3 linked regions of the Alligator mississippiensis genome follow. The protein of the gene in region 2 interacts with the protein of the main gene of each other region in a pairwise test. Links are inferred from orthologs where the notes say so. Each region holds a gene or a part of one and is shown on either strand. Other genes may lie near its edges.

Region 1 (7,704 bases), on a different chromosome or scaffold from region 2:
AGCCAGCTCAGACCCCACTACCCCCACCTTGAGGGTACATGGGGGGAGGGGTCCTCACCGGCTGTGGAAGCTGTGCAGCGTGGCAGGGACGCTCTGTACGCGCCACCGCCCGTTCTGGTCCGGGTACAGCACGAACTTGATGGGTGTCTCCACACCCAGCTCTGCCTCCAGGCTGAAGAGGTGCTCCTTCCAGGGGCAGCCGCCGCTCGGCAGCACCAGGATCTCCCCACTGGGGTCCACCTGGGGGAGAGGGAGGCAGGGAGAAGCATGGGGCTCTGTGCCTTGCCCAGGATGTCAATACCCCCTTGCTGGGACCTGGCACCCCCCAGCTCCCCTCACTTTGCCGACTGGGAGTGGACCCTCGCCTGCACTTCATCTATGATGCCCACAAGCTCCGTAGTACAGATAATTGTTACTGCCAAAGGAAACCCATGCGCTTGGCAAGAGCAGAGACCATCCCAGCAGGGGCCATGCTGGGAGCAAGGACTCCTGGGTTGTATCCCTGTGCTGTGGGGGCAGGTCCTGGCTTAGCAATAGCCTTGTAGAAGGCCAGGGTGCCTCCCCAGGGCAGAAGGTACCTCAAAGCGCTTCTGAACGGCATCCTCCACCAGGGTGCGGGCAGGCAGCCAGGCGCGGTGGTAGTAATCCAGCCGGTCCAGGAACTCGGCCTTCACCAGCTCCATCGCCTTCTGGAACTGGGTCTGCAGGGGGGGCAGACAGCTGGTGTAGGACCGGCCTAACCCAGGCGCACAGTCAGGCCCACTCTGCCACCCACCTTCCAGGGCATCCCTGGACCCTGGGGGGTGCTCAGCTCTACCGTGTGCAGGAAGAGCAGGTGCCCGTCCATGGCAGCACGAGGGGGAGTGGATCCAGCTGGCTTCTGGCTGGCGAGGCTGTGAGCCCTGACGCCATGTGGCTTCTTCCTCTACACACGTGTCCACGGGACAGGTCACCTCTATCTGCTCCCTGCTACATGCCTCATGGTCCAGCCCACCCCCTACCTTCATCTGCTTCTCCCCCTCCATGTGTGACCACGGTACAGCCTGACCTATGCCAGGATCAGCTCCTCCCTTTACATGTGCCCAACGATATCTTTGAAGATGGCATCCCCCCCCCCCACCTGTGTGACAGCTGAACGATTTTGGGGGCACTTCTGGTCTCATGAATTGCCCTCTCTTCCCTGATCCCCCACAGGCCTCACCTCAGTGTCCTGGTTGGGGTCATTCCAGCGGGGGTTGAGCAAGCCGACGCGAGCACTCAGGTCCGTGGTCACGGCATAGCGGGGCTTCCCGTCCAACTGTGCCACCCCATTGTCGATGGCATCGATCTCCTCCATGAAGTTCTCGTAGAGCTGCCGGGGCAGAAGGAGGTGGTAGGGCTCAGCGGGACAGTCCCTCCTGTCCCCAAAACACCCGAGGAGTCCGGATCTGAGCCTGCCTTGGAGGGTCGTCTGCTCCCGTGACCCACTGTGCCACAGAGAAGACCCCGTAGGCTGGCACTGCCACCTGGAGCAAGCGTGACTGGCGGGAGAGCACCAAGGGAAGCCCAGGAAGCCGTGGATGCCATGTGTCTCTCCCTAGCAAGTGGGGTCTAGCGCAGCAATCCTCAACCAGGTGGCCACGGTGCTCAGAGCTCCCTTCAATGGTGCTGCGGGTGCCACACAGAGTACGCCATGAGCTGTGCCAATGCAGTGTCAGCGGGCGGGGGCAGGGAGCTAGGACTCCTGGGTTCTGCCACGTTTCCAGGTCCGGGAGGGGAGGGGCAGGTAGAGCAGGGACTTTTCCTGCACAGGCAGTCGCTGTTAGGACTCCCCTAGCACCCCCCTGCCACATACCTTATCGTACAGCAGCTGCACCACGGGGTCGTCCTCCGCGCGCCCCAGCAGGTGGGCCAGGATCTGGGAGCCGAAATGCAAGTACACCAGCCCCGCGCTGCTCAGCTTGGTCGTCCACGGCTTGTCGGGCCTCAGGTCGTGCATGGACTGCGAGAAGGACCTGCCCGGCCCCGGAGAATCAGCCCCGTGGCCTCCCCCGCGCCCCAGCACAGCCAGCGGGACCCCGCGGCGCCGGGTGCTGCACGGACCCTGCGGCTCAGAGTCCGAGGAGGGGAAACCGAGGCAGGGCAAAGCCAAGCCACGGGGGTTCCCGGCAGGTACGGGGCCAAGCTGGTGTCCGGAGGACCAGTGCCGCGCTCCAGCCTCTGGCCCGCTCCCTCTTGCAAAGGGAGACGGGGAAGGGGCCCGGGCTCACCTCTGGTGATGGTCGTAGCGGTGCCGCTGCGGGTCGTACTCGCCGCCCACGTCCACCACCACGTCGCACTGGGCCAGCAGCTGGGGCTCCCGCGTCCGCACGATCTCTGCATCCTTGGGGGAGGGAAGGTGCCCGTGAGGGGGCCGGAGGCCCCCCCACCGCGTACTGGGGATGGGACCCACAAACACCCCCAGCCCCACCTGCACCAGGGTCCCCGTAAGGCCCTGGACACCCCAAAGCCCTGGGGCAGGTGGGGGGGGGGGGGCACAGACCCCGGGGTGCTGCGTTGGGGGGGGGTCCCGCGGAGGGGGGCAAGGGGAGCCCGGCTGCAGGTCCTGGGGGGGGGGTTTCATTGGAGACAGTGCAGGGGGCCACGCATCCCACGGCGGGGGGGGGGGTCCCAGATGTGGGGAGAGGTCCCAGGTGCAGGGGGGTCGTGGCAAGGCGAGGGGGGGCACAGAGTACAAGGTGGGGGGGGTCTGCGGACCCAGGGGGGGGGCTTGGAAGGGGGCGGGGCCAGCGGGGGTAGTAGGAGGGTCCCCGCGGGCAGTCCCACGTGCAGGGGGGGGGTCCGTACTCGGTAGCGGGGCAGCACCCGCAGCAGGGTGCAGGCCAGCGCCTCGTCGCAGTGGAAGTTGCCGTCGTGGGTGCCGAGGCGCGGGGCGCGGCCGGGAGCGGGACTCGCCATGTGGCGCAGCAGTGACCGGGCGGCGCGGAACCCCGTGCCCATGTCCTCCCGCCACTGCGCATGCGCCGGACATGCGCAGACGCCACGGAGAAGCCGCTGCCCGCAGCTGCTTGCCCGGTCGTGGGCGCCCACCTAGGGGCAAGGAGGTCCCTTCACGACCCTGCGCCTGGGGGATGGACAGGACACTGCACCCATCACACCCCAGGGTGCACTGGCACCACCTCCAGCACCAGCTTGTGGGGATTTTCTTCCAGCCACTGACCTGCTCCCAGCCCTCCCCTGCAGGAGGCGGGGTGGCATGGGGCTCATCTCATACTGGGATGCACTGGGCCACGGTGCACAGGGTGTCCTCATGGGACCCTGCAGGGAGCTGCAACCTCCCATGGCAGCCCCCCTGCCCCGCACGAGATACGTCCTGGACTGTACTGGGATACGGCCTAAAGAAAGGTCTTCATGGGAACTGGGACCACTGGTCCAGACCGGCACAAACCTCTAGCAAAAGCCTGGCGCCAACGCACTGAAACCTCCCATGGCAGCCCCTGCACCATCCCTGCGTGAGGAGGGGTTGAATATTGCTCATTGTGGACTATACTGGGATACAGGCTACAGGGAGGTCTTCATGGGAACTGGGACCACTGGTATGGCCTGGCACAAACCTAAAGGAGGAGAAAACCTGTCTGGCTTTTCGAAGCCAATGCACTGAAACCAGCCGGGGCAGCCCCAGGACCATCCCTGGGGTGGTTGAGGAGGGAACATACTGGGATACAGCCTCCAGGGAGGTCTTTATGTGGACTGGGACCACTGGTACGGACTGGAACAAACCTCTAAAGGAAGAGGAAGCCCGGCGGGCTTTTCCAAACCAACGCACTGAAACCTCCCATGGCAGCCTCTGGACCTTCTCCGGGGGCTTCAGTGCGAGGAAGGACTGAATATTGCTCATTCTGGAATATACTGGGATACGGCTTATGGGGAGGTCTTTATGTGAACTGGGACCACTGGTGCAAACCTGCATTGGAAACCTGGAGGGCTTTTCCAGAGCCAATGCACCAAAACCAACTCTGACAGCCCCGGGTCTTCTCTGGGGTCTCCTGTGTGAAGCGGGGCTGAATATTGCACATACTGGAATATAATGGGATACGGCCTGCGGGGAGGTCTTCATGTGAACTAGGAGCACAGGTGTGGACCGGCACCACGCGAAGGGTGAGGAGCCCCCGTGAGCGCGGCAGGAATTCATCGCCAGCCCAAGAAGCCCCCAAACGGCCACGCTGATGTGAGCTTTCCACAAAGCGACAGGCTTTATTAATAAGGTAACAGCATATTACAGTTATGCATGTAAGACAGCATCCAGCGTCCTGTGCAAAGCTCTGAAGGAGATTTCACATTCAAACGCATTTCTTTCCGGCTTCTCGTGTCCATTAGAAAAAGCTCAAGGCGAACAAGAGGGGAGGGGGAAAACAGGCAGCAATCACCTCTAGTCATCACTATAATTAAAAATAGAGATTTCTCAATTAGGTCTTCCTACAGATAAAGTGCACGGCCTTCCTGTCCTCTAGTACACAAGGCAACGACAGAAATCTGTTTCACAGTCGGAAGCGTCTCATGGGATTGTACACGCCTGTTTTACACGCCGAAGAGGGGGGGACGGGGGAGCGTTGCCGCGTCTACCAACCCAAAAGCAGCTTTAAATACGATTTCTAGGTTTAAAATTCAATTTACAGTTTACAATAAAGCATTTCCACCTATATTAAATAGTTATGGACATGTCAACAATCAATCATCTGGCAATTTGTTGCAATCATTCCTTGGATTCGTAACATATATGTATAGCTATATATAGATATCTATCTATATAGATATAGTTAGATCTATCTTTATCTCTCTAGATATATCTATATATCTATGTATATCTATGTAGATAGATATATCTATCTATATCTCTAGCTACATAGATATATCTCTCTATATCCCTATCTCTATCTATATAGATAGATACATCTATATCCCTATCTATATAGATAAATCTAGCTATCTATATCCCTATCTATATCTATATAGATAGACAGATCTATCCATCTCTCTATATAGATAGATCTATCTATCTATATCTATATAGACAGATCTATCTATATCTCTATATAGATAGAGATAAGTATAGATAAATCTATCTATATAGATATAGACAGAGATAGAGAGATATAGATATATATAATTTTTTTATTAACAGGCTCAATATTAAAAAGCCAACCAACTCTATCCCCCCACCCCCCCAAAAAAACACACGTTCTTCTAGCTGAGATAATATCAGACCTGTGTTTTTTATCTGGTCCCTGACGTGCTGAGTTTCTCTCAACATTTATTGCAGTGCTAATTCTTGCCCATGGCCTTTTCCACGCATTGGTTTACCCAGAATGGCAGACATGAAGTGGGATATACGCAGAACGGACCTTCACGCAGCAACTGTCACTTCCTGGCACAGCAATACTGATGTAAAGCTGGAATTATAGGGGTAAGACGCAGTTTATAGCCGCTGAAAAATAATCATCGCGGCCATGGCGCGTCGGGTGGCTGTGCTGAGCTTGGGCTGAGAGCGTGAGGAAGGGAGTCATGGGTGTCATTCAACACTGGGTTACATCACAGCTCATTCAAAAGGGTCTCTTGAAGGAAAAAATGATATTTTTTGGAAAATTCCCTGTTTCCAGAAAACAGGAAATCCCGCAACATCAGACGCTTTCCCATCGAAGATGGGATCTGAGAGTTGTGAAATAAATTTTAAAAGAAAAGGTCAGTTGTGGAAGCCAAGTCCATTCCCTGACCACTTCCAACTTGTATCTGGACTCCTATTTTTAAAGCCCCCTACATCTGAGCCCCTGAAAAGGGAACAGTCCCGTGCCTATTCGAAGCGGGAGCAACTGGGATGAGGTCTCCCCTTCTGCCCCAGTGCTGCGGTGCCTCGTCATGGCCAAGTTTCCATCCTGAAGGAGATCGAGCTCAGTCCGGCACAACGCCTCTCCTCCGGTCTGCAAAGGGGAGATGTTGCTAGCGGCACAGATGCAAACACCAAGAAACCTCCCATCATTTTCAGCGATGGCTGTGGGTGAAAAGCAGCCATAAATGTCCCTGCCCTGAACAGCTTCCAGTCTAAAAGGCACGAGTGGGTGTGACGGGAAGGGGACTCCGGTTTGGGAGGGCAAGGTGGGTTGCTTACTTCCCATGGGAGCTGGGCTTGGGGAGAGAAGAGCTGATCCAAGCAGTAGCAGCAGCATGGAAACAAGCCACATCACTGACAGTGGGGCAAAGGGGCCAAGGGAACAGCAAGCCCCAGAAGAACGTGGGTGGATCGCGTGGAGGAGGGAAGGCAAGGAGATACACAGCTGGATGCAGGAAACCCGTGGAGAGGGCTGGCTATCTCAGCAGCAGGACTGCAAGGAGCCTGGAGAGGATGGGGGGAGATGGAGCATGTTGGGGTCAAAACCAGACCTCTCCCCCACCCTTCAGAAATGGGGCCCAACACGTTGCTTGGGTGCAAGCAGATAGGCGACTCGAAGGGGCAGGCACCACGGGATGAGTTGCCGGGAGGAGGGTTGGAGCCATTTTCAAGGCAGCGCTTCCTTATGAATAAATTGGGTGCTTGGCTAAAGGAATCGCTTCAGCACGTTCGGGGAACCATCCCGTTGTTTGCTCCCTCCCAGAAAGCTTTCAGGCTTCCTCTGGAGGTTGTTCTCCTTGGAGACGTCACCCCCACCCCCATGAAAAATTGCATTCGGCTTCACCCCCGTTATGCAAGAAGCTCAGATTGCAAGAGAGTTTTGGAAGTCGGAGGAAGGAACGAGGATGCTGCAGTGCCCGGCGCTGATTTAGCCCCAGAAGGAAGCCAGGAAGAGGCAGAAGATGAGGCAGGAGGGTAGAAGCAGGTGCCAAGAGTGGCAGAAAGTCGCCAGGACTGAGGCAGGAAGAGGACAGGCATTTAGCAGAGCGCCGAGGCCGTGAAGCGCATGCATGTAACGGAGAAAGTCTTTGCAGACACTGAATTTTTGCTATGAGCGAGGAGGTCCAAGGAGACCGCTCAGACTGGGGCATGGAGGGGCAAACAGGACCAGGAGGGGAACCGGGTAGCATGCAGGATCCAGCAGGACTAGATAAAAGACCAGAGAATGAAGCGAGGGGAGAGTCCGGCCCAGAGCTGCAGAAGCAGACAAGACATTTTCAGCAGCAACAGGTCACAGCCAGGATACAAGACACGTCCGTGTTTTAAGGCACCAAAAAAAGCTGACAATTGTATTAAGACACAGTGATTTTCCTAGGAGGGGAGGGGAGGGGAGGGGAGGGGAGGGGAGGGGAGGGAGGATGGCGGGAGGGACATTCACTGCACTAAAAGCGAGCTCAAGGCACGTTGTTGTCCAAGGATCCGCTTTCATGCTTGCCCTTTCAGCGACAACGGCTGGGCTGAAGGGAGTTTGCCAGAAGAGGCCGGGCGTTATTTTAGACAGGATTATTTGTTTCCCAGGATATATCCGAGGAGCTTGTTAATCATTCCAGACAGGTGGATTTAAAAAAAAAAATTTTTAACCCTGGGTATGAATCAAATTCCCCTTTGTAAATGTTTATAGACCCATCTTAAAAAAACCCCTCTGTATTTTAAAAGACTGACACGTGCGCACACACATGCGTGCACACACACACACACACACACACACGCACACTGCTACCCACACTCCTGAACTCTGCCCATTTAAAGTGCGTTCGAGTGCCGACGTGCTGATACACCCT
Region 2 (7,793 bases):
AGCTAGAGCAACAGCAACTCATAAAGGACATTTTTAACAACCAAGGTCAGAAAGGATAAATAAAAGGATCAGTGAAACATGCAATCACTGCTGGCCTCAGAGCAAGAGGTCTTGTGCACCCTCCTGTTACTACTGCTCTTACAAAAAAATCTTAGACCTTACTGTCTATATTAAGCAAGAGATACTGGAGCAAAACTTTCCCAGGTGGTATTTTTAAGGAGAAAGCTTCAGTTGATTTTCTGGCAAAAATAATGCAGACTACTTACAGGAAAGCAAAGGTAACAGTACCCATTACTGCAAGTGGAAACCATACTTTTTCCCAACGAAGGATTTTGTCAGTTACCAGAATTACTTCTCCCCATCCTTGTAACTGCTCTTCCAAGCTGGCAGTCTCTGCAGCCTGCATAAAAAGACATTTAAAGTTGTCACTAATTAGAAAGTCACATGGGTACTTACATATGAATTATTTACTACATGCACTAAATTTTTCATTAAGTATTTGTGCTTGCAAAGCCACACTAAAATAAATTATTCTTCTATAGGTACAGGACACAGTCAATCCTTTTCAGTTAAATGTTCTTCCACCAGTTTTTCCTCAGTCATACAACTTGGCACTGTAACTCTGTGGTTTTAATGAAGACAGTAAGGTTAAGATTTTCACAGCAGATTATGTAGTAACATGTCCTCCAAGATAAGGTGTCTTTAGATCTCCTAAGCTATTCTGCATCCCAACCTGAAGCTCATCCCTTCAGAAAAAGAAAGGGAGGGAGGAAGACTTTTGTTTGGGAGATTAACTAGTCTGCCAATCATAAGATTCTCCAGCATAGAGAAAGCATTTGTAAGGAATTCAAAGTGTCCTCTTTTTTAAAAACTAAAACTGAATTCAAGTCCCCCACCCTATCCAGTATTTAGTACATGTATTTTACTGCCCTTACATCCAGTCCGTTTCACTGCTTCTCACTCCATTTTGAGTTAGACAAAAAGCAGAAAAACCTATTTGGAATTTTTTTAATAGTGGGAAAAAAAAAAAAAAAAATCAAAGAATTAAAACACACATTTCCAAGAGTAGCACCCAAAAGTACTTGGGTACACTAGTACAATGTACTTAGTACATTTATTTATGAGATACCATAAACTGAACAATTTTTGGCTTGCATTCTTTTAAATTATATGTATGAATGACAAAAGGTGATGTTAACTCAGAAATGGTCAAAAATAGAAAAAAAAAAAGGTAGTTTCACATCTGACTAGTCACACGGCAATCCAACTTAAAAAAAATGCCTACGCCAGCCTCTTTACCGTTGCCTCAGGTCATATGTAACACATTAAATATAGCTGATAAGCTTGCTGTCCATGGGGAAAATAGGAAAGATTGCTGGTATCACAAAAAGGGACTATTTTCCTAGGGAGAGGGAAGGTAGAAATAACTTAAAACAAAAAACCCAAAGTAGTCAGTGTAAAATCTGCATGTGATGATCAAAACCTAGATGCAATTATCAGATCAGTTATATCTATATGTCCTGCCCTATCTACCTTCCACATTAAAGATAACTGTACCAACAATAAGTATATCTACTTCACACTTTCTAGAAATAGCCTCAATTTCTCATTTTCCAAACTAGGAGACAAAAGCCTGCTGTCAACAGACAAGTCTATGTTTGTGTTACTTCAGTATCTGGGGCCACCAGCAATCACTCAGAAAAGGGAACTCATCTTAAGTTACCCATTACACAAGAGGCACTTTAGCAGGACAAAGGTTAGAATACAGCTGTCAGGAATAACAGCCTGACTTCTGCCAGCACACAAAGCAGGTAGCAAGTGTACTTGTTCTCCCATGCAAATAGGCAGAGAACAGGTGCCAACTCCTCCTGTCCATCACCTCCTCAACCTTCATTCAAATGCTTGCCCCTCCCAAGCCTTCTCTCCCATTAAGTCAGGCAATTTCAGCCACCTCCCCTCCCTAGCCCAGGTATTGTAGTTATGCCGCATGCAGCACCTCCCAGCTTCCAAGAGACCCTTTCTAGCCGAGTGCCTGAGTCTCACTCTCATCTGCTGCTGCTTCCTCCTTTCTACTACTTTTTCAAAGCTCCTTCTAGGAGCTTCTTTCAGCTCTCAACACCGTTTGAGTGCCTCACTTTTCAAAAACAAGGAACTGGAAGGGACCTCCTGGGCCATCAAGTCCAATCTGAAACTGCAGACAAAATATCACTCCTTTCGTTCCTCAATGTCACCCTTCAAAGCCGCCCTCCCCCTTCCTCCCACGATTATTTCTGCTACTACCTCTGACTCCCCAGCCCTCATTTTCAGTTCCTGCCTGAACCTGTGTTTAAAGCCATCTGCGTATTCCCCACTTCGTCCAGAGCAAGGCCCCTACACCTGGCTGTTTCAAGCCTTCCTGTCTCTCCGAAGCAAAAGCATAAAAACCCTGGAGTGAGAAGAGGTGCACCTTACAGACTAACTGAATCAGAGATGCCACAGGCTTATGTGAGACAGGGGTGGAGATGGAGCTGCAGTGTCAGCTGCTCTGTCCCGAATCCAGACTAAGGAGAAAGCAGCCCAGCCCTTTAGGGGAGACACAGAGCCTGGGGCAGGGGCCAAGCCAAGCGCTAGGAGTCGAAAGCCGAGAGGAGAAAGCGCAGAGCCCGATGTGGGGCGGGGAGGCAGCCGGGCCCCAAGCCGCAGAGGCCTCCCCGCTGCCTAGGGGAAGGGCAAGGGCGCACCAGGGCACGGGCCCAGGGGAGCCGAGCCAGGGGAGAGCGAAGGCGCGGGCCATTGCTGCGGCACAGCCCGGGGAGACTGCGGCGCAGGAGCTGGGGTAGGCCTCGCCCGGCTCGGGTGCAGCAGCTGAGGGCGAGGAGGAGAACGGAGGCGGAAGCAGCCCCGCCCGGCCCGGCCGCTCACCAGCTGGTTGGTGCTCTTGTTGTCTCCGTCCGCCATCTTGTGCGGGTCCGCACGCTCCCACCAGCCAAACACTGCGCCCGCCCCAGCTAGCTGCTCGCCGAGCACTGCGCCGGGTTGGCGGCGCCGCCCTTTATGGACACGGCGTGGGGGCGGGGTCCGCTGAAGTCTACGCAACGATTGGTCGACTTGAACGAGTGGCCGGACCAATCCCAGAGCGTCGCTATTTGAAAGCGGGCAGCTGCCAATCGGGGCGTGGCTCTCTTCTGTCTGCGCCTCTGCCCTGGGGCGGTGTCAACGGCCAACTGTCTCGGTCTCGAGCGACGAGCGCGGGGGGCGGGGCCACAGCCTCGTTCCAGTGCGGCCCACGGCCCGAGCTCCTCCCCCCGCGACACTTGCCCCCGCGTGTTCGCCTGGTCTGAACAAATATACACGTACGTGTACACACACACACACACACACACACACACACATATATGTATATGGATAGATAGATCATTTTAATAATTAAAAAAAAGTGTGTCTCCCAAAGCTTGCACAGAACAATTTTTCCAACTTTTCAGTGGGTCTAATAAAAAACCTCCCATTTACTCAGAGAGTCTCGTCTGCCCGTGCCCTCAGACCAACGACCGACAGTCTGCTAATCTTCCGTGCCCCGGGAAGGAGGGGAAGCCAGGAGCAGCCTGTTGCCGTCCGGTGCTGCCCTGCATCCATGTCTGCTCGCGCCTGTTGTCTTTCCCCGCGGCGCCGGGGCCCTCGCGGCATCGTGGCCCTCGCCCAGCGCACGCGGTTCAGAGCAGGTCCCGCTGTGCCTCAGCTCCTTAGCTTAACGAGTGGTGCCCCATCTCCGGCCACATCAGTGTTAATTGCTGCTTCCCTGACGCCAAATGGCCGGGCCTGCGGGCTGGATGCCGTGCCACGGCGCACCGGACGGGGCTGGCACGCAGGGTTGGGCCGACACGCCAGACCCCAGCCTGACACCCGCGCCAGCATCTGGCCCACAGGGCTGAAAGGTTGGGCGGCCCCAGGCAGCCCCGATGAACGCCTGGCCCGGTAAGACGCTGCAGCACTAGAGAGGCAATCTGCATGGAGGATGCATCTTGTGAATTATACCTCCTGTGAGGTTAAAAAACCCCTGCAGTTAAACAAGCAACTTTAAGGCTCCCTCCTTTGAGTGCACGGTGGTTGATGGGGCTCCCACATAGATACCAGTGTTGTGACTAAAACAGTCGATGGTCACCTTGGCTGTCAACAGCAAGAGTCCTATTTAAACAAGGATGAGAGGATAGCCATATAAGTGTACAATCTGAAGCCTTTCCCAGACAGCAAGGTCCTGCGAATGTGGACTGCTACCATATTCACCTATCCTACCTATGCTGAATATGGTGTTACTTATATTCTGGTCGTACCTGGGATCCTTAAATATGGACGTGGACCACAGTATATTAACTGCTCGATGTTTTTCAAGCAGGGGAAAACAGTGCTGGATCTCTACTGAAATAGGCTCTATAATGGCTGCAGGAATCTGACTCAGCAAGTTCACTGCATGTTATATGCTTAGAGACGCATTTTAATAATCTCTGTGAGACTGTTGCCTAACTTTCTATCCTATTAGCAAAGACAGTCTAGGTATGTTCCCATAGGATTTTGTCCTGTTAAAGTAACCAGACCCTTCCTACCACCAGTGTATGAAGTACAAAGTTCGCACTGTGGTCAGTGAAGAAAACTGGGAAATGAATACATAGGTTCACATACACCTCGTACAACTCAGGACAGGAATTTGTGCAGAGTGCTGTGTGAGATCCTGTCTTCAAAACAGCACCGTGGAAGGGGATCAGCTCTGAGAACCTGAATCTTACACTTGGAGGAGATGTAATATTGAGGAACAAAAAGGCCTCTTCCCTGACTCTTAGAATAGAGAACAGGTCGCTAAGGGCTCAAGGCACAAACTAGCAATACTGATAATATTATATAGATTCCCCAGATAGAGATCCCTCTCAAATTGGGAGAGGGGGAACACACGAATGGAAGCCTTAGGGAATCAAATTGCTGTAGAAGTTACATGCAGCCATGAAAAAGGTGATGTAGAGGTAATTCCTGAATGCAGGCATCTCTCATCACTATTTCTGGGAGGTCCGTTGCAGAGAAAGGTGTTCTCTTGCACACCTGACTGAAGAAAAGACACCTTAAGGGGCTATGCACATCATGTCCATGAGGTGCCTGCTGAATAGACACACTGGGCACATCCAGAAGAGCGTGCACGTGAATTTTCCCGGGAAGAAAATAGCAGTGACACAGTTGCGCTGCTGCTGCTTGTCCCTGGGGAGCGCCTGTGCACGCATGCTGTGGCAGGCAGCAAGTTGCCCTGGCTGAGGTAAGGGAGGCTGGGGCCAGCACCTGGACTCATCCCAGCAGCCTTACCTGGGGTCCCATGGGCCTCCAGGGGCTGCAGTCGCGCCAATCCAGCAGCAGGGAGGCTGGGCTGGCAGCCAGAGTGTGGCTCCAGCCAGTTAGGCTCCAGTTTCGGGTGGTGCATGCTGCCACCACATGCACCACTCTGCTTTTTTTAGGTGCAGGGTTTTTTTGTCACTGGGATCTCTCAGTGTCAGAATCCCTCCCCTCTGCCCATGCTGCAAATTAGCCGTGCAGCGAATACCTGCATGTATGGCGCTGCAGAAGAATCTGCAGCACCAGATACTGCACATGCTCATTCACCTGGATTTCGACTGATTTAAACTACCTTTGCCTACGTGCATGTGCTAAGCCTGGGAAACCATTACGTAGGCGTCAAAGGCCGCATTCCAAAAGCTGAACCATGCTCTTACTGATGTTACTGGGTGAAGTAGAAATAGGTTGGTGAGAGATTCGTTATACATTGGATTTTTTCTTGTGGAAGATAAGATCTTACTAACTTGTAATCTAAAATGCCCCTATGAACACTGGCACATGAACAACTGGTGCCTCCCAAGACTGGGGGGCACCATGGCAGCAAGCAGGGACCGTCAGTGGCGGGGGGTGGCACTGCCGGTTGTGTCAGCAGCAAGGTGGGGGTGGGCAGGTGCAGGCAGCAACTACCCGCAGAAGCCAACAGTGGCTTCGGCAGTGGCCAATTTCAGGAGGGTACATGCCCCCACATGCCCCTCCTACACATTACCTGTGGAACTGCACTTTTCCCCATTGACTTAGATGCCTCAGCTGGCAAAGTGCCTTAGCTTTACATGAATGAAACCGGTCAGCTGCTGAGGTGAGTGGGATTGCACCTTAAGTGAGCTGCCACAACTGCCCCTACATCGAGAGCCTATTGTAGTTGTTAATCTTTTCTAACAACAGCCCCCTGCCACTTGTCACTCACCTATCATAGACCCAGGAGTCCCAGGGACTGGGAAGGTTGTGGAGTTTTGTCATCTGCATAATCTCATAGAACTGAGATGAAGAGCCTATGCCCTGAGGAAAGGGCACTGTTTTACCACTATTGGCCTGGATACAGTAACCACTTGTTTTTTTTCCATGATAGCACTAGTATAGAGAAGGGAGAGAAGGGACTGGAGCAGGCTACCACCTCATAGACAGCAGTAGGGATGATAGGAAACATTGTAAAAGTGCAACCTTGTCTGCACTCAGCTGCAGAGCTTTGCACAATATTCTTTAAACAGGAAATATACACAAAATAAGATAAAAATCCCCACAACACAACATGAAGCATCAGGAGCATGTTGTATCTATGTTTCTGTCCCTCAGAAGAACAGTAGCACTTTGTAGATGTTATTCAAAACACTCAGGAAACCTGCCCAGCTCCTTCTCCTATCCATTCATGAGGCTGTCTCCCTTAGTTTCACGAAGGTTGTGCCAAAATGGCAAGGAGCTTTCAATAAAAGGTAGATGTTTCTCATCAGCCTCCAGCTCCCAACATCAGATTTCTTCCTTTACCCCTCAAGTACTAAATGACTGTAGACAAGTACTAAATGACTGCGCAGTAACTGGAGTACCTGTGCAGTAGTGCTGCCAAATGGCTTTTAGGTGATGCCAACTGCACAGTAGCTCATTACTACTGCACAGTAGCATCATGTCACACTTTGTGCCACGTGACATTACTGCACAGTAGTAGCAAGCTACTGAACAGTTAGTGTCTCATGTAGACACAGCCAGGGCGTAGTTAAACACTTCCTCCTGAGCCTTTCCAGACCACCTTATATAACTAATGGTGCAGTTCCCATAGTCAGCAATCAGGCCTTGCCTCACCATAGAAAATTCTAATCTGTTGGTGAACTCCTAGGTCTAGTGCAAAAACCAACACTTTGGGATCCCCTGACCTGCACTACCCATTACTGCTTAGGAGACAATACCTCCTTGATAAAGTACTCACCTGTTACAACAGATCCAGCAGCTGATCTACCAACATCAAGATTGGTAGCTATAGCCTGGTAGCAGTCATGGATGGCCATCTTCCAAAGAGTTCTCCGTACAGAGAATTCACATGTATTGTTCTGTTGCTGCAGCTCCATGCACTGAACAGGTTTAATGGGTTTTGGTCATCAGAAGCCTGCAACATTATCCTATCCCATTACCTAATACTAGTTGGCTGAGTCACAAAAGTGGCAGGTGATTGAAGCTGCTTTAGATCAGAATCTAGAAGTGCCTGTTCTGTTTCATGCTCCTCAGGGGCTCTTATTAATTACCCCAGTTGTGAAGATATTGCATAAACATTAGATATGCTTGCAAGAGCTAGTTTATGTTCATTACTGTGTAGACAGGATCTGTTGGCAATACTTCCTTTATATTGTAAGACCGTATTTTTAAAGCCCTCCTACCTTGCATCATAGGAACAGTTAGAGGATGAAACAAGAGGAACCACAAGAATTTTCTTTGATAACAAGCCTTGGAATCCCGCTGCCTTC
Region 3 (7,714 bases), on a different chromosome or scaffold from region 2:
GGAGCCCCGCGTGAATAGCTCAGTGGATGCGCTGGCCAGCAGGAGCCTGGGCATCCCCACGGCCAGGAGGTCAGGTCACTGCAGATCAATACAAAAAAGGCAGAAGCCTCCTCTCTCCAGAGCCAAGACACCCACTGCCCCTCCAGGTCCCCCTCTGCACAAGGGTCCCCCATCCACGGCAAGCAACTGAGTTTGGAGAGCAAAGAGGCAAGTGCACCAAGAAGCAAATCCATGAAGGGACCGGCTCGCAGCCTTCTGCACCCTCTGAGGAAAGTGCTTTTAAAGAGCTGCCTGAATAGTCCGTGCCTTTTTGCCCACACTAGTAAGTGCCTGGCCTCAAAGCTTCGCAGGGCGGGGGAGCAGCAGCGAGGCACAGGGAGGGGCAACAACCGGGGCACCTTGCAACTGGTAGCACATCTAGTGCTAGTTTGGATCTAACAGCTCCTGCCCCACACTGATTGCAAGAGCGTTCCCGAGGGGGGCAAGCAGCAGTCAGCACCACTCAGTCTGGGAGTAGCAGTGCCCCACTCACCCTGCCAGGCCCCCCACCTCCCGAGAAGTGAAAGGAAGAAGCCAAGCCTGAGGAGACCAACGCAAGAAGCAGCCAACACAAGTCTGTTCACTGGGTGCTGCAAAGCCTGACCAGACCCCCCCCTGCACTGGGCCAAGCCTTGGCACGTTCTCAACTCCTCAGCTACACATGCTTGCAGCCTCAGCAGCCCAGGCCCAGCCCAACCCCCTTCCAAACATACTGGACTGCTCCATGAGAGCTCAGGCGATGGAGACGTCCCCAAAGCTGCCAGCAGCATAGGAGAGAGCATGGGGTGGGGGAGGGATGAGCCCCGCTGTGCTGAGCAGGCCTGCAAGGCAGGAGGCCTGGAGCAGGGGGTAGAGCAGAATCCTGGGCCTCAGGACTGGGCAGCGGAAGAGGGAGGGTTCATGCGGGAGGAGGCATGGGATGGGCAAGGACCAGCTGCCTGCCCCAGCACCGGAGTTTCTGGGTAAGCCTTACTATCTCCCCAGCACCTGCTGCCGCGGCTGACCGGCGACAATCACTGTTCTGCTCAGTTTCCTTTAGATATGCTCGGGGCTGCGTGGACAGGGAAGCAAAGGTCACTTTGGAGCCTTCTGTGAGGGGAGAGGGGCAGCTTCCATACACTGCAATAATGCCTCGTGCCAGTCCCGTCACACACCTACTCGCTCCTGCCACCACAGATACACTGCATGCGTCTTCACACCTTCAGGCCCAGATCAAAGCCCAGCAGATATCAACGCTGCTGCCAGATACGAAAAGAGAAAAAAATACTGGAGAAACTGGGAGGTTCAGAGAGAAGCTGGTTCAGAGGAGACAGATTTAGTGTAAAAATAAATGTCATTTCTGCAGGAGGAAGGTGGAATGGAGGAAGACAGAGTGCCGGGCTCTCCTACTGACGGACTTTCCCTGGGACGTAGTTCCTGTCGATGGTCTCCTCCTGCAGGAACATGTGTAAGCAGCGCTCGTTCTGTGCCAGAGGGTGTCCGGCGATTCTGCAAGGGAACCGGGAGCGGAGGTTAGTGCCTGCCCAGCCCAGGCCTCGTCCCATGCTGTGGGAAGCAAGGACACACTCGCCACCTTTGCCTGCAAGGGAGGAGGTCCCACTCCCATCTTGTTAGTGCAGAACAGAGCCTCACTGTGGGTCTGATCCTACCCACACGGACGCAGCACCCAGTCGGTCATGCCAGGGCCCTGTGCCACGCTCCAGCTCCCCCTTCCCCTCGCCTGGCTGCTGTCTCCAAGTGACAGCAGCAGCAGCCTCAGCACCAGCACAAGAGGCAGAAAGGCCCAGGGGCCTGCACTGCTCAGCACCCCGCAGGAGCCAGCGGCACGCGCACAGCCCCCGACACAGAGGGAAGGGGCAACACACAGCAGCGATCCCTTCAGAGCTGCAGCTTTGCCAGCTGCGCGCTGCGGTGAGGGCAGCGGCCACGGCCCCAGCAGCAGCAGACAGCCCTTCACCGCCCCAGCCACGTCCCGTGCCGACTCGTGATGCTTACTTGTTAATAAACTGTTCTAGCCCCTGCCTCCTCTCCTCGATGAAAGACTCCTCAAAGATCCCCTCGTCACCCCGGAACGGGAGCTGTCGTTTCAAGGCTTTCCCGGGCAGCGGCGGCACTACAATCTGGAAGCACGCGCCCGCGTCAGCCAAGAGCCCAGTGTGCGCCCGCGGGGGGCAGCCCCTCGGCAGCCCTGCAGGCCACGGTCCTGAAGCCACCCGCTGCCCCGGCTGGGCAGGGCAGGGCAGGGCAGGGCAGGGCAGGGCAGGGCAGGGCAGGGCAGGCGTCGTGCCCTGGGAACCTCCCCCCCACAGAGGGACAAGGGGCAGCAGCTCAAGTGTGTCCGTCCCTCCCCCCCGGCGGTGGAGACCAGGGCAGGCCGGGCCGGGCCGGGCCGGGCGCTCACCTTGCTGTCTCGCTCCAGCTCGTTCTTCAGCCACTCGAAGTCGCTGTACCGCCGCCTCACGCACGACTCCTTCAGCTTGAAGATGGGGAGGTTTGTCTGCAAGGCAGAGGCGCGGTTAACGGGCGGGCGCCCGGGCTCCACGCAGGTGCCGGCACGGGGCCGGCCCGGCGGCACTGCACCGGCTCAGACCGCCCGCCTGCCCGGCCTACAGCGCACCTGGCGGCTCCCCGGCCCGGCCCGGCCCCGCGCTCCGACACCGCCCGGCCGTGAGCGCCCGGGTCCCGGGGCGCGGCGAGGGCCCGGGGCGGGCGGGCGGGCGGGCGGGCGAGCGCGGCCCCCTCCCCCGGCGCGGCGCGGCCCGCACCCACCCGCATGCGCAGCTCGTAGCTGGTGTAGCGCGCGCGGCCCACGCCCACGGTCTGCGGGTTGAAGATGTCGATCTCGAGGAAGTTGCTGGGCGGCCCGTAGGCGTCCGTCAGGTCCTGCGGCTTCGCGTTCAGGCGCCGGGTGTCGGCCACCGCCGCCTCCGACATGGTGCCGCCGCCGCCGCCGCCGCACAGCCCCGCCCCGCCTCCCGCGCCGCCCCGCCCAGCCAGGTTCCGGGGCGCCCGGCGCTGGCCCCGCAACGCGCATGGCCGCGCCCCGCCCCGCCCCGCCCACATTCAGGGGCCGGGGAGCTGAGCGCCCGCCCCGCCCCGCCCGAGCCCGCGGACCCTGCGCGCCGGCACCGCGGCCCGGCCCGGCCCGGCCCGGCCCAGCCCCACCGGGGCGCCCGCACGCCGGGGCACGCAGGGTCCCGGCCGGCGCGCTTCATCCGCCCGCCCGCCCGCCCCGGAACATGAGTAGCAAAGGGGCGAGCCGGCTGCACGCCGGCACCGCCGCGCGTGTGCGTGCATATGCAGACACCCCCACCCCACCCGGCGCTGCGGGCCCGTTAGGGCGTCACGTGCACCCCACGTGGCGCTGGGCCCCCCCGCATACATCAGCGCGCTCCGCGGGCCTCGGGCTGGGTGTGCAGCCCCCGCCCCGCCCGCAGCGCGGCTCTGCTGCCTTAGGGGCTTGGGCAGCTGTTGGCACAGGACGGCCGTGCCAGGCCCCAGCTCCCTAGACTGGCAGGCGAGCACAGGGAGCGCCCTCACGCTCCCATCAACCTCCATGGTGGTCCCAGGCGGGCAGGGCCGTCAGCCACAAACCACGCACAGCCGGGTCGCCGGGTGCCCGTGTTGGCTGAGCCGAACAGCCGGCAGGGAGGAAAACCAGCAGGAAGGAAGAAGAAAGGCTCAGGATAAACCAGCCCTTCGCACGCACTGCTAGAGAAGAATGGCAGGGTCGGCTTGGCTCCCCGTGCAACCCCCAGACCAGTGGTGGCAGGCAGAGGCCTGGGACCCGGCAGAGAACGGGGCTGTGGCCGCACAGGAAGTTGTGGTCTTTTTCCAGGGGGAAACGGGAATGGTTGGGGAACCAGACAGACACTGGGATGCCCTAAGACCTTCTGAAGGACTTGCAAACCCCTTGGTGGAGGTCAGGCCTGACGGACACGAATGGGCAGTGTTGGTGCAAAGCCTTTCCTCTCCAGGCTCTGTGAGAAGTGGGAATAAGCAGGGCTTTGGGTCTAAGGCAGCTCTCCGGTCACAGTCTTCTGCAGGACGAACTTCAGGCATCGAAAGCAGCTGGGTGGGGGCGAGGGGAGCGAGTCTGATGGACACAGAGGATGCCCTAGGCCAAGGCACAGCCTGGGAGTGGGAGACGTGGAATCCCACCCTGGACGGGGAATGACCGTGAAGGGGAAAGAGGTGCAGGTGCTCCTGGAGCTGCAGGGTTATGAAGTGTCTTCAGCCTGCCAGGCAGCAATTGTGCAGAGGGACATAGTGCTGCACAAGAAGCAGGACTGTGCCTTGGGTGGACACAAGCCTGCATCAGTCCCCTTCACTGGCTTTCAACAGGTCTCTGGACCCACGCTGCAGGGCACACGTAAAAACACGGGTGGGTCCCATCCCGAACAGCACGGCCTGCAGCCCCTAAGAACCGGCCATCTCCGGGCTGTGCTGCCCAGCTCCTTTTCCAACGGTCCCCCACATCCGCGGGGAGGCTCCGCCGTGCCTGGGGAAGCTGCAGTCTCCAGACCCCGGGGGGTTGGGTTTCACCACTGCTGCTGCTAATACTATTATTACTTGCTGTTTCTATAGTAACGCATACATCAGGGTGGAAGACTCCTACAAAAGGCAACTGGTCTCAGGCATCCTCATCCTGTCCTCAAGAGAGCAGAAAGCAGCAATGAGGCCCCTAATCTGCGAGGTATTTTGAACATCAACCATGGGGTTTTTGCACTCTCTCCTCAGCTCCTAGTTTCCCCGCTTCCCTGCCACTGCGTGCAGGGGTGGCGTTCGGGCTCTGAATGATAATGTCTTTCAACACGGGCAGCTCAAGAGGGAGCGGAGGATGTGGTTATGGAGCCTTCATTTGCTCTCTGCTCCCCTGACCCAGGATGCCCTGTCCCAGGTGGTGGTGTCACGCAGCCCCTGCACATGCTCTGGGCACAAGTAACATGAGTTGCACACGCCAGGCCTCACGCAAGGTCTGAAAAGCATTACCCGTCTTCCAGCACACGTTTGGTCTCTGTTTAAGGAAGAGCAGCACTGATAAAAGCCTTCCCGTTCAAAAACCTCGAGTTTTAGATAAATCTAGGCTGTATGTGCCGATGTTAAAATGTGTTGAGACCCCGGATATCACCGTTCTACAGCAGCAGCCGGCTGCTGCCGGCTCCCGTAGGGCCCTCGCCTGCCCGTAGTGATGGCGGCGCCAGGCTGGCTTCATCCGGCCAGTTGCAGCAGGCGCCAGCCATATTGGATACGGGCAGGCTGGCGGGAGGCGGGCCTTGCTGCCCCCGCGTTGAGCACCAGCTCCTGGACTGAGGGGGGCGGCGAGTGCCGACGTCCCCGAGGCGTGCAGGAGGCACAGCCGGCGGAGCGAGGCGGCTCGACCTCGGGCACAGCCTACCGGGGGGGGGAAGCGCGAGTGACGCACCGCCTGTTTGGGAGGAAGTCGGGGGTGTTATGTAAGGCACGCTTCCGGCACCCCCCGCGGAGCATCCTGGGAGCTGTAGTCCGCCTCCACACCAGCCCTGCCACGATGCCTTTCCGTGCCCCCGCCCTCCTTTGCGGCGCGGGGGCTGACGGGAAGCCGAGTCCTGGCGCCGGCGCGGCGAGCGGGGTCCGGCGCGTTGGAAACTCCCCGCCCCGGCATGCCTCGCGGGCGCATGCGCAGACGCCGCGGGCCGTGGTAAACAGAGCCGTGAGGCGGCGGCAGCGGCCGGGCCGCGACGGGCATGAGGCGGCGCTGAGGGGCCATGGCGGCGGCGGCGGGGCTGGACCTCGAGCTCGACCCCGACTTCGCGCCGCAGAGTCGGCCGCGTTCCTGCACCTGGCCCCTGCCGCGGCCTGAACTCGCGGGCGCGCAGCCCGCGGCCGAGCCCGAGCCCGAGGCGGCGGGGCCCGGGGCGGCGGCGGCGGCGGGGCCCGGGGAGGCGGCGGCTGCGGCGGCGGGGCCCGGGGCGGCGGCGGGGCCCGGGCGGGCGGAGGCGGCGCGGGCGGCGCGCAAGGGCGGCTCCCGCCGCAACGCGTGGGGCAACCAGTCTTACGCCGAGCTGATCAGCCAAGCCATCGACAGCGCGCCCGACAAGCGCCTCACGCTGGCGCAGATCTACGAGTGGATGGTGCGCTCCGTGCCCTACTTCAAGGACAAGGGCGACAGCAACAGCTCTGCCGGCTGGAAGGTACCGCGGGCGGGCGGGCGGGCGGGCTGCCCCGGCCCGGGGCTGTTCCGTGCTGGAGCCCCCTCTGCCCGCGTGCGGCCTGGCCCGCCGTGCTGGCAGCGGGGCCCGGGGCCTGGCGGGACGGGCGCTGCGGGGCGAGTCCTCGGCGGCTGACCGCGCGTGGGACGCGCCTGTGCTCCGGGGCGCCTGGGGCTGGTGCTTGTTTGCGGTCAGACGGCGTCTCTCGTCCTGCAGCGGGAGCCGGGCACAGCTGCTCCAGGTGCGGCGTGGGCTTGCGGCGCTTGTCCTGCCCGCAGCAGCCCCTGCTCTGAGCGCCGGCACGGCCGTGCACAGTGCACGTGGCAGGTGGCGGCGGGGGGCGTTTTCATCTGCCCCAGTGAGGGCAGCTGACGAGGGCACAGCGCGAACGCGGTTGCACCCGAGGCACGGCGTGCTGCAGCGGTTTCCCCAGGAGCCAGGGCAGCGGCGAGAGGTTTGCCGTTCTGCGGGGCCTCGTGGCTGGTTGTGCCTGCCCAATACCCTGGGGACAGGCGCGGGCGAGCCCTGGAGACGATGAGGCGGCTCTTACCTCAAGAGCAGGGTCTTGCAGCCGCCCTCCTGGCGGCGTGTGGAGTGGGTCTGAACTCTTTCCCGTGCCGTTGCGCTGTCCTGTTTGTCCCCTTCCCCGGGGCGTGGTGGCTGGCTGGAGAGGCCGAGTAGCTTGACTGAAAACCAGGAATTCCCCCTATGAGTCTTTTCAATCCCAGTGGAATCAAACTGGCACATAGTTGTTATGGGAGGTTTTGCCAGCATGCGTTGCTGTGCACACCTGGACATATTTCCTGTCTCTCAGGTAGCTTGGGTTCATCTGAAGGGGAGTTTTCCAGCCCCTGTAGTCAAGGCAGGGTGTCCTGACCTACCCCCAGCTGCAGCAAACGACGTGCTGTCATTCTGGCTAATAGCGGTGGAGCTGATGGTGATTCCCTGCTCTCTGCGTTGCCCGTTAGACAAAGAGCGTCTGCGTGTTCTGTAGGCAGTGACCAATGGGATTTTGTATGGAGCAGAGTCCCATCAAGTTCTCCGCCAGATGTAACTTTAAAGCAACTTTCTTGGCCTCTGACTAACTGTGAAAGAGAGATCTGCACTGTAACCTCTTCAGCCAGCCGCATCCAAGTCTTGGAGTAAGTAGGTGAAGCTTGCAGACAGAGCGACATGGGACGAGGCACTTTGAAGTCTTGTACAAGGCATGTGCTGCCCTGGTGCGCAGGGCTGGGAGTGGCCCGCAGTCGCTGTTCCACTGCTCTATTTGGAGGTGGCTGGCAACACTTTTCCACTTAAAAGGTACTGGGGAGATTGAAGTCTAATGAAAAACCATGATTTCAGCCACTCATTGGGCGATGGAATCCTACAAGGGAAGCAGGCTGTGTTTGTGGGGCGGCAGACAGATTCGTGTGTGTCGTGAAGGGGTTTGGGAACGAGCAGAGGTCTCCTTGTCGCCCTGGCACTGGCACTGTGGATCTCGG

Evidence for each region.
Region 1: the proteins of ARL6IP1 (region 2) and MYG1 interact in binary tests that used the Homo sapiens proteins (3 or more experiments, as listed by UniProt). The two-hybrid records come from large-scale screens. The link is inferred for Alligator mississippiensis from reciprocal best matches to the Homo sapiens genes ARL6IP1 and MYG1.
Region 3: the proteins of ARL6IP1 (region 2) and SNX12 interact in binary tests that used the Homo sapiens proteins (3 or more experiments, as listed by UniProt). The two-hybrid records come from large-scale screens. The link is inferred for Alligator mississippiensis from reciprocal best matches to the Homo sapiens genes ARL6IP1 and SNX12.

The regions. Positions count from the first base shown.
Region 1 is NC_081838.1:8,882,681-8,890,384, forward strand, and holds the start of MYG1 (MYG1 exonuclease), read right to left. Parts: upstream 3,012-7,704; 5' UTR 2,980-3,011; coding exon 2,827-2,979; intron 2,363-2,826; coding exon 2,250-2,362; intron 1,995-2,249; coding exon 1,835-1,994; intron 1,352-1,834; coding exon 1,202-1,351; intron 702-1,201; coding exon 579-701; intron 241-578; coding exon 59-240; intron 1-58. UniProt on the Homo sapiens protein: 3'-5' RNA exonuclease which cleaves in situ on specific transcripts in both nucleus and mitochondrion. Involved in regulating spatially segregated organellar RNA processing, acts as a coordinator of nucleo-mitochondrial crosstalk.
Region 2 is NC_081836.1:44,689,222-44,697,014, forward strand, and holds the start of ARL6IP1 (ADP-ribosylation factor-like protein 6-interacting protein 1), read right to left. Parts: upstream 3,011-7,793; 5' UTR 2,938-3,010; coding exon 2,902-2,937; intron 401-2,901; coding exon 267-400; intron 1-266. UniProt on the Homo sapiens protein: Positively regulates SLC1A1/EAAC1-mediated glutamate transport by increasing its affinity for glutamate in a PKC activity-dependent manner.
Region 3 is NC_081831.1:83,126,782-83,134,495, forward strand, and holds the start of SNX12 (sorting nexin-12), read right to left. Parts: upstream 3,012-7,714; 5' UTR 2,974-3,011; coding exon 2,809-2,973; intron 2,537-2,808; coding exon 2,441-2,536; intron 2,160-2,440; coding exon 2,035-2,159; intron 1,528-2,034; coding exon 1,425-1,527; 3' UTR 1-1,424. Other genes in the region: FOXO4 (forkhead box protein O4), read left to right, coding at 5,787-6,212. UniProt on the Homo sapiens protein: May be involved in several stages of intracellular trafficking.